2 linked regions of the Notamacropus eugenii genome follow. The protein of the gene in region 2 purifies or fractionates together with the protein of the main gene of each other region. This does not show direct contact. Links are inferred from orthologs where the notes say so. Each region holds a gene or a part of one and is shown on either strand. Other genes may lie near its edges.

Region 1 (7,408 bases), on a different chromosome or scaffold from region 2:
GAGATGTGACTTCCCCAAGGTCACACAGGTTCTCCCACAGTGCAGGAGGCCTTGCTTACTCCCGTCCCAGAAAAGGGAAGCTAGGAGAAGAGGCAGTGATCAGCCCCTCAGGTTCCCTACACCTGAGCAGGATCCAGCCAGATCCTAGTGCATTCTGGGTCCTCTGGGGTCCCCACCCGAAGAACTCCAAGTGCTGTGGGCTCCCCCAGCTTCCTCCTTCCCCAGCGTGGCAATTTCTGAACTTGCTGGGCCCCATCTTGTCCGTGCTCTCTGGGTAGCACCACGCACGCAGTAAGCCCCAGTTCCTGTTTTCAGAAATCTGATCACCAGAGTCAGAAAAGAAAGGGGCCCCCAAGGAAGGGCCTTTATGAGCAGCAGGCAAATTCCCCTCTCCTGTCCCCCACACTCAGTCAATCTGAAACCCAGTGACTGGAGATGCCCTGAGAGCAAAGGAGAGCGGGTACCACGGGCCAGCCTGGGGGGCTCACTGCTCAGCACTGGCCGACTCTGGCACCCACAACTCTCACTTTGACCCAGCCAGCCCGCTCAAGGGTCCAGGAAAACATAGTCACACCCAGAGTGAGCTCATGCCTCGGAATCCTGACCCAGACACACTCCATGTGCATGCAGGCTGTCCCCCTCCAGGGAACCTGCTGGCCCTGGCACCCCATTATCTGGGATGGGCTCTCAAAGCACCAGGCCAAGCTCTCAGTTTACAAACGACAGAAAGGACCTGCCACCCCTTGGGTAACCCGTGTCCCAGCTGCTACATGGAATTATCAGGCCATAGCTGTCCCACTGTAAACATGGTCCAGGAGGGAGGGCAAGGCAGACCTCAGGCCCTTCTAGGTACCTCAGGGGAGCCAGGCCAGAGGAGGAATATGGGAAGGCCTGACGTCATGGGTGTTTCTCCCAAGTGTAACGAACAGATGGCATCTGGGTCCACGCTATGCATTTATACACTCCCTGCTGGCACCCAAGTGGAAGGGGCTCTCCCTCCAGCTGTCTGGGGGCTGAGGGAGACGACAATGCTGTTTACCATTGGCCATATCCCATCCCCTACAGATTCCCCTTGGCTTTCACCTCTGGTTGAAAGACAGACTCAAAATCCTCAAAATCAACTTCCAAGGTGGAAAGTACCCTAGAGAGGCCACTAAACATGTGTCTTCTCCCCTTAATGTCATCCCTCAGCAAAAGTACTGGCTGAAATTCCATCTCTGGCCAAAGGTTAGTGGGGAAGGGAGAGGCAGGAATTAGGAGAAAGTCCTAGTCAAAGATGTGAGTGGTATTTTTGAGGAGGGTAGGAGAAGCATAGGAAGACAGGGGGAAACTGGACAGGTTCAGGGCCAGGCCAACAGAAAACTGTCTCCAGATGAGAATGGAAACTCCCTGAAGGCAGGAACTGGTTTTATCTTTTGTCTTTGTATCGCTAACGTTTATCTCAGTGCCAAACCAGAGTAAGAACTTATTACTGATAGTAAAAGGGGAGAGAGTATGTTACAGAGAGGGGTCTAAGGAGGAGAAATCACAGTCGTAGTAGAAGAGAAAAAAGGTGATAAGCAGACAGAGTAAGCATGGGGGTGGGGTGTTGGAGGTGAGAGGGAGAGGATGAGAGGAAAGGAGAAGATTGGAGGGGCAGGTGGGGGGTTAGGTGAGTCTATGGGATGAAATAAGGGCCTGAAAATTGGTAAGGGTTGCTAGGCAATGAGAAGTTTGAAATGGACACGGGGGAGGTGTGAGGAGTAAAGATGAGGCCTCAGAGCCGGCATGAGTTGGGGATACCCTGTGGGCAGCGCAGAATGGACAGTATGGGGAGGAGGGGTGGGAGGGATGGCAGGCATGAAGAAGAAAGGACTGCTGGAGAGCAGGAGGAGACAAGTGTCCGGCCGAGGCCACTGGGGTGCCCAGGGTGACAGTCAGGGATGGAAGGAGAGGGGGAGCTCTGAGGGCTGTCCCACGTTTAGTGTCAGGGTTAGTCTTAAGCTTAGGGGCTGGGACCAAGTTTAGGTTCAGTTTCAGGCTGGGGAAGTTTCAGGGTCATTTTCTGGCAGGGTCAGTTTCGGAGTCGGTTTCAGGGTGGGTTTGAGGGTCAGTTTCAGGGTAGATTTCAGGGTCAGTTTCAGGGTGGGTTTCAGGGTCAGTTTCAGGGTGGGTTTCAGGGTCAGTTTCAGGGTGGGTTTGAGGGTCAGTTTCAGGGTGGGTTTCAGGGTCAGTTTCAGGGTGGGTTTGAGGGTCAGTTTCAGGGTAGATTTCAGGGTCAGTTTCAGGGTGGGTTTCAGGGTCAGTTTCAGGGTGGGTTTCAGGGTCAGTTTCAGGGTAGATTTCAGGGTCAGTTTCAGGGTGGGTTTGAGGGTCAGTTTCAGGGTAGATTTCAGGGTCAGTTTCAGGGTGGGTTTCAGGGTCAGTTTCGGGGTGGGGGGCTCGGGGTCGGTTTCCGGGGGGGCTTCGGGGCCTCTCACCTGGGCTCGGGCAGCAGGATCTTCTTGCTGGCCCGCGCCGCCGGCGTGGCCTTGCTCTTCTCCATGGCCATCAGGTAGCTCACGTCGGCCAGCACGGCCTCCAGGTCCGCCATCTTGTAGCCCCCTTCGCCGCCCTGGCCGCCTTGGCCGCCGCTGCCCTGGCGCTCCTGGACCTCCACGCCCCGCACGGCGAGGCCCTCCGCCCGCCGCGGCCCGGCCCGGCCTCCCCGGCCCCGGCCTCGGCCCCGGCCCCGGCCCCGGCCTACACGCGGCGGCGCCGCCCCATGACGCCCGCGCCCGCTGCTCCGCCTCCTCCGGCTCCCGCTCCGGCCCCGCCGCGGCCCCGGCCCCTGCCCCGCTCCGGCTCCGGCCCCCGGCCCCGCCTGCGCAGCCGAGCACCACCCGCCCGTCAGGCCCGGCCGCCGCAGCAGCCACGGGGCGAGGGGGGGCGGCGACTGGGGGGGGGCCCCGATCCGCGCCAAGTACAAGGAGCGCACCGACGAGGAGCTGCGCCCCCTGCCGGCCGAGGTCGTGCGCCGCCGCGGCCCCCCGCTGGGCGCCGCCGCGCCCCCTGCCGGCGGGGTCCGCGGCGTCCGCCCTGGGGCGGCTGTGGAGGGGCGGGGGCGCGCAGAGCCAGAGCTGCGCCCCCTACCTAAAGAGATAGGTCTGACTCGCATCGCCCGCTGCAGACTAAGCCCCGCCCCCAGCCCTCCGCCCCCCACAGCGCCCCCTACAGTGCCTCGATCCCTCCCCCCAGTCCCCTCTTAGGGTAAACCCCGCCCCCAGAACGCCTCTTCTTCCGCGCCCCGGCCCCGCCCACGTAGGCTCGTCCAATGATGCCCGGGGTGGAGGGGTGTCGTCAGAGTGCCTCCTTGTGCAGATATGACCCCCACCTGCCAGGGGCTGCCCACCAGACCCCGCCCCCTCCCAGGGAACCCTCCCCCCACTCCTCCCGCACCTCGACACCTCCCCCTAGGGCCGCACTACCCAGTGTCCACCTGCCCCTAACCGGGTCAGTCAGCTTGTACCCCCTGCCCCCCATGACTCCCCCCATTCTGACTTCGAATCTCCGAGACCTTGGCCCTGGCTGTCTGAGCCTTGTCACTGGAACTTAGCCCTGCCTGGCACATAGTAGGCGCTTCTTAGACGTTCCTTGGCAATGGACGGCCTCCCCTCCCCACCCCGACTGCCTCCCTGGCCCAGGAACCCCCCATCTTGCCCTGGCCCTCCATGCCGTGCCCTGGGGCTCCAGGCCCACTGGCTCCCCCCACCTCCCTGGCCCCAGACCTGCCCGTTTCAGTCCCACAAACCTGAACTCAAGTCCCTCTGTGCTAGGAATGGGAAATACTTGGAGGAGGAGGGTAGCCTGGCCTCGATGAGCCTCCGTCCTCTTAGGGAGGGCGGGCCGCCCGCACAGGCCAGCACGCTGCACAGAGGGACTGAGGGGACAAGGGGGGGCCGGTATCCCTGTCCTTAGTCACCCTGCCGGACAACCGCTGATGAGTGTTTAGAGGCAGTCTAAAAACCTGGGCATCTTGGCACCCTCTGCCCCCAATCAATCACCTACTGTGTGCCAGGCACTAGGCTAAGCACTGGGGGATTCACAGAAAGGCAGAAGACCGAAGCTCATTGGGGAGGGGAGACGGATAACCAAGTATAAACCAGACTCGGACGGGATAAACCGGAAATAGTCATAATGGACTGAGGACCCCCGAGGGAGCCACCGCCGGCCTTTTTCAGCCTGTCAGACCTCGGAGAGCTCACGGGGAGGTTATCTTAAGCTAACACCTTCCAGAGTCACCACCACACAACGATCCTGACAATGCATCCTGTAAAATGGGCCTCACCTGCCTTGAAGGATTGTTGGGAGGACAGAATGACATATTTAGCCCAGTGCCTGGTACATAGGAGGTGCTTAATACATGCCTATTCCCTTCTTTTCCCTTTCCCTGACATCAAGCCTAAATCTGACTTCTCCACTTCCACTTATGAGTCCTGCTTCTGCCTCCAGGAGCCAAGGAGAACAAGCATACTCCTTCCTCCCCAAGACAGGCCTTCAAGACAACCAGCCATCAGTAAACTAGAATGTAAGCCCTTGCCCTTTGAGAACCCAGGATGTTTCATTTGCTAGTTTTGCATCCTGGGACCTAGTCCAGGGTGGGAGAAACTTAAATACTTGTTCATTCAACTATTACGAGACACCAGGAATACAAAGGCAGAAATAAAGACTCTCTCCCCTCAGGGAGCTTCTATTAGATCAGGAAAGATGATACAAAATAACTAGGAAGTAGATTTTCTCAGCTGGAGGTGGGGTTGGGGGTGGGGAGGGGTGGTGGCTGGATCCAGGTAGGCTTGATGTAAAAGGTCTTGCTTGAACTGAACTTTGAAGAAAACTTGAGATTCTGTGAAAGAGTCGAGAGGAGGAAGAACATTCCAGGCATGGAAGTCAGCCCATAGAAAGGAACAGGCAGGAGAGAGAATGTCCTTCATGAAAAATAGAAAGACAACGTATTTGTCCAGATTAAGAGTATGGAAAGGTAGGTTAAAATGAGTCTGTGAGGGGTTTTAAATATCAAACAGGAGTTTGAATTTGGTAATAAAAATACTCGGGATCCATTCATCAGCTCATCAACAAGCAGGCATGCTAAGTACCAGGGATACAAAAAGGCCTCCCATTAGTATAGTTTTACTGTTTTCTCCTGTAACTTATTTAACTTTTCCTTCAAAAATTTGGATCCTTCAAAAACCAAACCAAAAATTAAGAAAAAAATTGGATTCTTTGCTATTTAGTGCCTCTGTGTTCAGTATTATTATAATTCACTGTCTATGGTAACTTTTAGCAAAATACAATATCTTTGATTATCTCTTTAGATCTATTTAATTAGATTATTAGATATTGTCTATTATATATTATTAATATATATGGGATAGATTTAGATTCTCTAATTATCTACTTTTGCTTTTTCTTAGATCATGATTGTTAACGTTGCCTTTTTTTATTCAACCAAAGCATAGTAAAATTCTGCTGTAGCTTCTAATTTTAAATCTGTGTAAGTCTTTCTGTTTCAAGTGTGTTTTTTGTTAACAACAAACATATTGTTGGATTCTGGTTTCTAATCCATTCTCTTCCATTTAATGAGTGAACTCATCCTATTCACATTCACAGTTATAATTGCTAACTGTATATTTCACTCCATCCTATTTTCTTCTTTTTATTCTCTTTTTCCCCTCCCCCCTCATTAAAAGTCTGTTTTGTTTGAAGTCACTGCCTATCTTAATCCTATCCTCTTTCTTCTTACCCCCCCCCCCATTTCTCTTAGCCCCATCCACTCATACTTCCTTGTTGGTAAAATGAATTTCTATGCCCAACTGTGAGTGTATAAAAATAAACATATGTATATGTGTGTGTGTATGTATGTGTGTATATACACACATACACACACACACACACACACACACACACATCTCTCTCCCCAATCCTTTCCTCGCTCCCTCTCTTTGAACTAGATCAGATGAGAATGACATTCAACCACAGTCCATTCCCCCACTCCCATTTTCCCCTCCATTGTAAAAACTCTTTCTTGTATTCCTCTTTTATGTGAGATCATTTCTCCATTCTCCTCCCTCCCCCTTTCTCCCAGTTCATCCCTCTTTCTCACCTTTCTATTCTTCTTTTGAAGAGTAGACTCACATTTATACCCTCTGTCAAAGTAGACTCCTAACTGCCCTACTCATGATGAACTTCTTAGAGGTTACATATGTCACTCTCCCATATACGAATGTAAACAGTTCAACCTTGTTAAGTCCCTTGTGATTTTTCACTCATCTTTACCTTTTTATACTTCTCCTGAGTCTTCTGTTTGAATGTCAGATTTTCTGTTCAGGTCTTGCCTTTTTATTAGGAATGCTTGAAGGTACTCTATTTCATTAAATATCCCTTTTTTCAAACTCTGAAAGATTGTGTTAATCTTGGTTACAGTTCTAGCTCCTTTGTCCTCTGGAATATTATATTCCAATATTATATATATTCCAATATTATACTCCACTTCTTTAACATGGAAGCTGCTAAATCTTGTGTGAGCCTGACTGTGGCTTTGTGATATTTGAATTGTTTCTTTCTGGCTGCTTTCGGTATTTTCTCTTTGAACTGGGAGTCTTTGAATTTGGCTATAACATTCCTGACTTTTCATTTTGGGATTTTTTTCAAGAGGTTAACAGTGAATTCTTCAATTTCTATTTTGCCCTTTGTGATATCTGAACAGTTTCCCTTTATAACTCCTTCAGATATGATGTCTAGGCTCTCTCTCTCTCTCTCTCTCTCTCTCTCTCTCTCTCTCTCTCTCTCTTTCTCTCTGTGGATCATGGGCTTCATATGGGATCCAATACTTCCTAAGTAATCTCTCCTCAGTCTATTTTCTAAATCAGCTGTTTTTCCAATGAGATATCTCACACTTTTCTCCTTTTTTTTAATCTTTTGATTTTGTTTTATTCTTTCTGGATATCTTGTGGAGTCATTAACTGCCACTTGATTGATTTTGTTTTTAAGGAGTTATTTTCTTCAGTGATGTTTTATACTTCTTTTATTTCATTTGACCAATTCTGATTTTTAAGGAGTTATTTTTCTCAGCATTTTTTAAAATTTTATTTTATTTTTTAGTGTTCTACAATCACTACCATAAAACTTAGATTTTAACCCCTCCACACCTACCCCCCTCCTCCCCTCTCCCTCCCCAAGACAGCATACAATTCTATATAGGATCTACATATACTTTCCTATTGAATATGTTTTCACGATAGTCATGCTATGTAGACGAACTAAAATAAATGGAAGAAATCATATAACAAATCAAAACATAATACACACACACACACACACACACAAACATGATCTGCTACATTCTGCGAATGAATTCCATAGTTTTTTCTCTGAGTGTGGCAGGCATTTTGCC
Region 2 (7,990 bases):
TGATCTGAATTAAGAAGTAGAGCAGCCATCTGTAAGTTACGACAATATTTGTGAACAGAAGAGGGCAGCCACATGGATTTTTTTCCCTCCCCTTTCCCTTCTTGCTGAAGCATTTTAAAAAATCTGCTCTCTGAAAGGAAAATAACGTTTATGGAAAGGGAAATATCTGGGCGTTGTTTATTCTCGCAGATATTTCTTCTTCAGAATCAGTAACCGGGGATTCTCTCTGCTACAATATGTTTACACGGAATTCCTGGATTCCACACATTTCAGTAAGAGTAACGAACACAATGAACCCGGCGACTCAGTCAGACCTGCACCGCAGATTTAAGGTGGCAATTTGTTTACAACTTTCACTTTTCCTACGAGTTGGAGGTCAGGGTAAACCGGTCAAAAAGAAGAGAAGGGAAAATATCTTCTCCTCAAAGGCGATTTTTAAAGGATTTGAGATTTCACGCTTACTCAAAGCTTAACAAAAGCAAAACGGGCTGCCAAAAAAGGAAACCACCTTTATTTCTACCCCCTCCTCCTTCCTCTCCCCGCCTCCCTCCACCCCCACCCCCAAAATATGTTAAGAAATGTGGCAGCATTAGAGGAGAGAGAGAGAAAAGCCAACCTAGAGAAAGGATAGAGGGAGAGAGAGCCAGTACCAACCTTAAGTCTTTTTCTGGATTGGTTTAATGGGAGAATAATTCGAATGACCCAGAAAGTGTACACTAGACAGGGAGAGCACGTTACACAGTCACACACACACACACACACACACACACACACACACACTTCCACCCCCTGCATTAGTTAGACATCCCTTTCCTTCCAAAGCTGGTGGGTGTGTTTGGGTTTTTCATTTCCCCTAGTCTATTTCTTTATCCAAAAGAGGGGAGTGTGTGTATTCGTACGGGTGCTTCCAAAGAGAAAAAGGAGAAGATGGAAAGGGATGCGAGGGAAGTCCAGAAGGAGGGAAAAGAAATACAGAAATGCACCTTTGAAATCTGCTCCAACGCGAAAGCCGCATCGCAGTAGCTCGGCCGCTGCAGATACTCCAGGTCTGGTGCCCCGGCACGTCGGCTCCCCCCGGTCCTTCTCCGCCTCCTGCTGCCGTTTCCCCCAGGCAGACTGGGGTCTCTGCCGCAGCCTCCGCTGCCGCCGCCGCCGCCGCTCTCAGGCTCCGCAATGTTAACAGCTGAGGCCATGTTGCCGCCGCCGCCGCCGCGGTGACTGAGCTGCCCCTGCTGCTCCCGCATCAGGCGGGCTGGCTTGTCTCGGTTCCCCCACCACCACCACCACCACGGCGCGCTGCTGGAGCTGGCTGGTGATGCCGGGGAGTAGGCTCCGGAGGACGCTTCTTTCTGCGGGTGGCTCCGGCTTTTGCTGTGGTCGCTGCTGCTGCTGACAGACCTCCTCATACCGCGGGGGCTGCTGCTGCTGCTGCCGCTGCTGCTGTTGGAGAAGAGTCAGGACCTGTGCCTTCCATTGCAACATTTCGTGGTGATCCGGAGGTCTCTGCTGCGGCCGCTTCCCACATCCAGTTCGCGAAGAGGGTGAGAGGGATCCGTATGTGTGTGTGCGCGCACGGGGGGCGAGCCTCTCTCTTTCCTGCTTGCCCCCCCCTCCCCCCGGTGTCTCCTTCACCACCACCAAACAATCCCCACCGCCGCTTCCTTCGCTCCTTGTTTGCCCCCTTTTCCAGACCCTTTTACTTGGGAAAATGTGAGGAAACCCCCAGAGATCCCGCCACCGGGGCTTTCTCCCTCGGCTCCTTTTCTTGAGTTGGTTCTCCGGGAAGAAAGCAAAAAGCCACGGCAGAATCCGAGCTTCCTTTGCTCTTCTCAGTGCTGCTGGGGAGTTGCTGCTCCTGCTCTCGCTGGTGCTGCTGCTGGAGGCGGAGGCTGCTGCTGGGATTGCTCCTTCGACTCTGGCTCTGGCTTCTGCTCCTTGCCGACTCGCTGTACCATTCTGTTTCAGTGCAGCGCTGGTCTCTGACTCCCGGGACTTTGGGACTCCAGTCTGCGTGTGTGCAGCAAGCAGCAGCAGCTCCTTGATTCAATAGATGAGATGGAAGAAGAAAAAAAAGAACTCTCTCCATTTGGAGAAAGAGGAGGAGGAGGGGAGGGGGTGGAGGGGGAGAGAGCCAGCGAGAGAGAAAAAGGCTGGAGCTCCCGCCCCTGGGGCTGTCAGATGGCTAGGATTTCTGCGATGTGATTGGCTCAAGGAGGGCAGAAATTACTCAGCAAACATGACTATTATTAGCTGCTTAGCAACAGCTCACCAAAGTAGAGAGACCACCCAGGCAGGCAACCCTAGTGTGTGCATCCCCAGCTTCAAGGGGAGCCTTAAAGAGCTCCAACCTTCTTGCATGCAATACTTCCATTAAGGAATGCTCCCCCCTTCCTTTTCTTTTGAAAAGTGTCTTCTTTTTATGAGACGCTTTTTTTTGCACGCACACACACACACATACACACACACACACACACACACACACACACACACACCTCGCGATGTACAAAAAAAGTAATATTTTTTAAAGCGCTTAAAGAATTTCAGAAACTCCTAAAAAGAAAATCTATTCAGAGGCACCTTGGCCTCAAGCTGTAGCAAATACTGGGAGGTCCGACTTGAATTCCCAGGCTTGAACCAATAATGACAGGGTGGTGGATACCGAGGTAGTGCGTGCCAATTCCACCCCCCCCCCCCCCCCCCCGCCGCTTTCTTTTATAACTAAAAGGAAGACGGTCTCTCGCAAGAGAAATACGCCATACATTAAAGATAAACAAAACGGAAAGTTAAATAATACAACACAAGAACCTTAAAAAACAACAACCGCCTCCAAATCCCCTGCCTACACCAGCCCCCTCCCCCTAAACACTTACTATATTCAAGGAAGAAATTAGTGATTTATACTATAGCATCCAGACACCCGCAGCAATTGTATATGGGAGTTGGGGGGGGGGGGCTGTTTTTATTTGAATCTAAATGATCGCATAGTTTAAAAAGAGAGTCATTTGAAATTTTGGCAAAATTGAATTGTCTTATTTCCTTCAAAAGAAAAAAAGTTACTGCCACTCAGTTTGCTTCATTCTGACCCCCTTTTAGTACGCGTACATATTTATTTAAAGTCAGTTGCGAACTGACTTTTTAAAAAGCGGTACGCATCCTCTATATATTTAGTAATAGCGTGACGTAGGGAGGAATAAAGGCTTTGATGTTGAATTCATTCGAAACAAATTGTGCACTGACTGTAAGTACCCATCCCGACGCTTTAGCTAAGGTCACGAAGACATCCTAGGCTTTACTTTCCCATTGGGATAAATAGCCCCTTTTGGAAGCGTACATGGTTAATTTGCCAGCAGTAGGGGCTTGCCTTGCAAAATGTCTCAGAAACTAGGCTGGCTCGACCGCTTTTTTTTTTTTTTAAGAACGTGGGTGGGATTTTTGGTGTTTGTTTTTGTTTTCCCCCTTAGCTTTGCAAGTTATGAAATTTCTCCCCGCAGTGGCGATCAGGGCACTAGCTTCTTTTTTTTTAAACTCGACTGCATTGCGAGGAAACTAGCGGGATGTTGTGCTGATGGAGGCAGCGAAATAGGGGAGTGTTGCTTTAAGGTGCACTCGGTGTGTGTTCATTGAAAAAAAAGAAGAAAGAAAGGAAAGGAGAGAAAAGAAAGAACCCCAGATGGAGGGAAAGTAGGAGGGGCGGGGATGAAGAGGGGGAGGGGGCGAGGCAGCGGGGAGGTGGAGTCTGGGCGAGGCCACGTGACCAACGAGCCGGGAGCTGAGCCCCAGTCCTCTGGAGCTGCTGCAGATCTACCAGCTCCCCTGCCTGGGGGTGCGTGCGTGCGTGCGTGTCCAAGCGTGAGGAGGCGGGGGGCTGGGGGTGGAGGGAACTCACGCCGCTGGACAGGCAAGTGACAAGGCAGGAGCGGAAAGGGAGAGTACCCTCGCTGCCTGCCCGGCTTTGGGATTCACCCAGTCGGGGCACGTCCATCGGGATTTTCATTACTCTTTTCCTTCCTCCTTCCTTTTCCCTCCCCGCTCCAAGGAGTTCGTGTCGTTAAGAAGCCGGAGGAAAAAGGGGAAGGCTGCCCCTCCCACCCCAGTTATGCGCCGCTGCCGGTGCCGAAAGGCATGCCAGACAAGCCATAGTACATTCCTAAAGGAGGTCTCTTCCCCCTTTACGTTACCCAATACCAACGAGGCTTGACTACTACCGGCCAATAGCAGCAAAGAAAGGAAACATTTCCATTCAATTCTGCCCCAAGTCTTGGAAGATGTCACGGGCTGCCGGCCGGTGGAGAGACAAGCCCGCTGATTCCAGCGCACGCGGCTCTGGCAGAAAGAATCCGGCGCCTTCCTTCAGTTCCTAGGATGTCTCAGTGCCACTCCTTCCCTCTTTTCTTTCTCTTCCTCCTTACTGATGCATAGCTTTCTCTTTTTCATCTTTCCCTAACTCGTTTTCTTGCATTTCTTTGTATTTCCAGCGCTTTGTACAGTGCTGAGCACATAGGTTTAAAAACTGCTTGTTGACGTCTCTCTCTCTCTCTCTCTCTCCTCTCTCTCCCTCTCTCTCCCTATCCCTCCTTTCTTTCCTTTGCCTTTCATCTTTTCCCCCATCCTCTTCCTAGACCCCATTTCTTCCTTCCTTCCTTCCTTCCTTCCTTCCTTCCTTCCTTCCTTCTTTCCTTCCTTCCTTCCTTCCTTCCTTCCTTCCTTCCTTCCTTCCTTCTTTCTTTCCTTCCTTCTTTCCTTCTTTCTTTCCTTTTCTCCCCTTTCCTTCCTCTAATTTACTCTTGGAACCAGTTTTTCTTTCTTCCTCAGTCATAGTCCTGACCCAGAAGAGGTAGAAGGAAACCTCACTTATAAGAAGGGCTTTCACAAAGTGACACTCTCAAAGATGAGATGGGGCACAGATGTACGTGGGCGGTTTCATATCATAAAAGGAAGAGTAGCCAGGCAGCCGGGAAATTTAAAATTGAATGTCTTAACTGGGACATCATTTTAGTATGTGGCAATTCACTGTAGATGTAGGCATTATCTACAACAAGACCTCTTAAAAAGCCAGTATGATCAAACAGTGTAAATAAAAGACAGAATAGTGTTGGAACTAAACAGGATTGCAGGAAGTTTTGTATTAATACATGACAAAGCTGTAATATGAAAAATTAATCTTATAGTGAAAATTGCTTTTAAAATCTGAGAAGCACCATCAAATTGTATTGATGTCACATACTGTATGAGCCAGCCAAGATTTCAGGTTATATTAAGAAGTGCTCAGTGTACATTTTCAATAACTTCTGTCAATGTTGAGGCTATCTCTCATTTCGACTCATTTATAGGAGAGGACCATATATTTAGAGCTGGAAGATACTTCAAAGCTCTTAGTTTTACAGATGCCCAGAGAGGTTGTGACTTGCCCAAGGTCCTAATGGTAAGTAACAGAGCTAATACAGATTGTTAGGACAATCAGATGTTACCACATACGTATAAGAGTGTAGAGGTTTGCATGTTTCTTCAGCTGCTGAAGATAAAGCAACTATATCATAAATCACATTTCAAATTCTTAAAATTTTTGTATCAAAATTTTTGTCTGAATGTTATCTCATTGATCATTTAAGTTAATATTCATTGTTTCTTAATGTTGTTTAATATTTAGAGTACCACACTCAAGGAAGATATGGTAGTGAATATTAGTTCATTTTTACATGGAAGAAACATTCTTCTGCTTCTACACTGGTATCCTTTCAAGAGTAAGATGTCATCCTTCCATGTTAATTTCATTCAGTCTTACTTTATTTCGAAATACTTTGAATATTGATGCCTGAAGTTTAAAATACATGACGCCTTTCTACCACCCCTCTTTGCCTCCTGTTTGATAGGTTAACTTTTCATGATCTTAGACAATGCCCTGCTGGTATATTCTTCTCACTGGTTCCCAAACTCAATCTGGAACCTCAGATTTAACAAGCACTATCTTAATCTCTCTCCCATCCCTTCCCTTCTCTTCTCCCCCTGTGGTCTGCTTTTTTCATACACAAGAGATGAATTACTTTGGGGATCTAATTGGCCTGGTTTCTGCAATGTTTTTTAAAAAGGAAGAGGTGCCAGTGTAAAAGCCTGTCTCAACATGGGTGGTCAGGGCTGAGGCTGCCCCCAATTTGCCTCATTGCTGATGCATGCGAGTGCTACATTCCCAGCGATAATGTTGTTCTTAATCAATCTGCCCTTATTTACATTTGTAAGCATTGTTGGCTTTAATATGCATGCCCTGTGCATGTAACTGCTGCTCGACACCAGGTTTTGTTAACTTCAACTAATCACAAGGATCCCACAGACCTGATATGGAGCTGGTTTGGATGAACAGGGCCTGCTAAGGTGTCTCTCAGTGAGAGTCCTTGAAGAATAGCCTTTATTCCTTAGCTTCCCTTGTAGATCTGTCAAACACGTGATCACTTGAGACCTTGTGGACTGGCAGAACTTTTCAGTATAGATGAAGAAACATCTGATTTGCCTCCTTTCATATTCCTTTTAGACCATATTTCAATACATGGGTTAACTTTTCTTCCCTTGTGGTCCAAAGACTTCAGTTAAATTCTGTGAACTGAAGAATCCCTCCTTGTGTTTCATTCCCCCTTTCTCTGTTCTAACACTTTAACTTCCCATGGTCCTACAACACAGTTCTGAAATCTACATTTGATTATCCAAATTCAATAGGACATGGACAACAAAACGCCTGGCCTCTGTGTTTGAATATTACAGAGTGAAGTGAGCAAAGCAAGATATAGCTAAATAGAGGAACAGAACAGAGTATGGTTATGAACCCCCGAATGATCTTCCAGTTACCTTTTGGAATGTTGTTCCCTCCTTACTCTTTGGATGTTCAATGTAACCCTTGGACTTCAATACTTGATAACGTGGTGTTTGTATGATACCATAAGCTGCCTTTTGTGTAATGCCATCCATGTAAACAACATATGAATAAGTATGCCCAATGCATTTGTCTTATAATTCACAGTTTTCAGTATGAATTTCATTTGCTTAATTTCAACCATCTCTAACCTAATAAAATGCAATAGTAATACTTTGCTTTTTATATTGCATTTACTTTTCAGAAATGCAAAGAACTTTTGACGTAACACACTACTCCTTACAATATTGCTGTCAGTTTCACAGGGCATAGTAATAGCATAATTTCGGTTTGTAGACGATAAAACAAATACAAACGTCCAGTGAGTTGCCCAAGGACAGAAAATGAGTTTAGGCGTTGAGATGTCTCAAACAGATCCCAGGAGTCTTGACAATCTAGTGTTCCACTATTTGCTGCATTTCTTGCTCCTTAACAATGCCATATTATCTCCTTATAAATGTTTGTGTATTTCCTTACAAGTTCTCTTGAAGGAATTGAAAGGTGGAGCCTAGAGACAGAAATTAGACCAAATGGTTCTAAAAAGTTTCAGGGTTGAGAAAAGAAAGTATTCAGCTGCCATAGAATCTCAAGACACTGGGCTTGACCTCCTTCTCCCTCCCCCACTCTCTTTTCCTCTACTTACCCCCTCCCCTTCTCCCCCTGCTCAGGGATGTAAGAAAGGGAACAGCTCGACCCAACTTGTCAAAATAATGCTGCTAATTACCCCTGATCTCCTTTAATGGGAAGCTGCCCCAAACTCTACAAAGGAGTAAAAGAGAGATCTACAGCACAAACCCAGGAGCATTGGCATTTATTGAGCTCCCAGAGAGGGGTGGGGGGTAGAGAAATGTCCCACCAGCATCCCAGATATCTCCGCATTCATCAGACCAAGGTTATTAGTGAAGGCACCCCAAATATTAAAATGTAGTGGGAATTATACTTCCTGCAGTAGCCACAATGGCAGGGAATTCAAGACTGCTGAAGATCTCATCAGCTGCAATAAGGCTTGTCCACAAAGCAGTTTTGAATAAAACACAGAAATGATTGTGGTGTGGGTGTTTTTTTCTCTTGCGGAATATCTTTCTGACTCTG

The links.
Region 1: the proteins of PTCH1 (region 2) and GRK2 purify together in Homo sapiens (affinity purification with western blotting; 3 studies listed by BioGRID and IntAct, with this or other methods). This does not show direct contact. The link is inferred for Notamacropus eugenii from reciprocal best matches to the Homo sapiens genes PTCH1 and GRK2.

The regions. Positions count from the first base shown.
Region 1 is NC_092873.1:19,722,132-19,729,539, reverse strand, and holds the start of GRK2 (beta-adrenergic receptor kinase 1), read right to left. Parts: upstream 3,152-7,408; 5' UTR 3,137-3,151; coding exon 2,460-3,136; intron 1-2,459. UniProt on the Homo sapiens protein: Specifically phosphorylates the agonist-occupied form of the beta-adrenergic and closely related receptors, probably inducing a desensitization of them. Key regulator of LPAR1 signaling.
Region 2 is NC_092874.1:328,558,256-328,566,245, reverse strand, and holds the start of PTCH1 (protein patched homolog 1), read right to left. Parts: upstream 3,220-7,990; 5' UTR 1,407-3,219; coding exon 984-1,406; intron 1-983.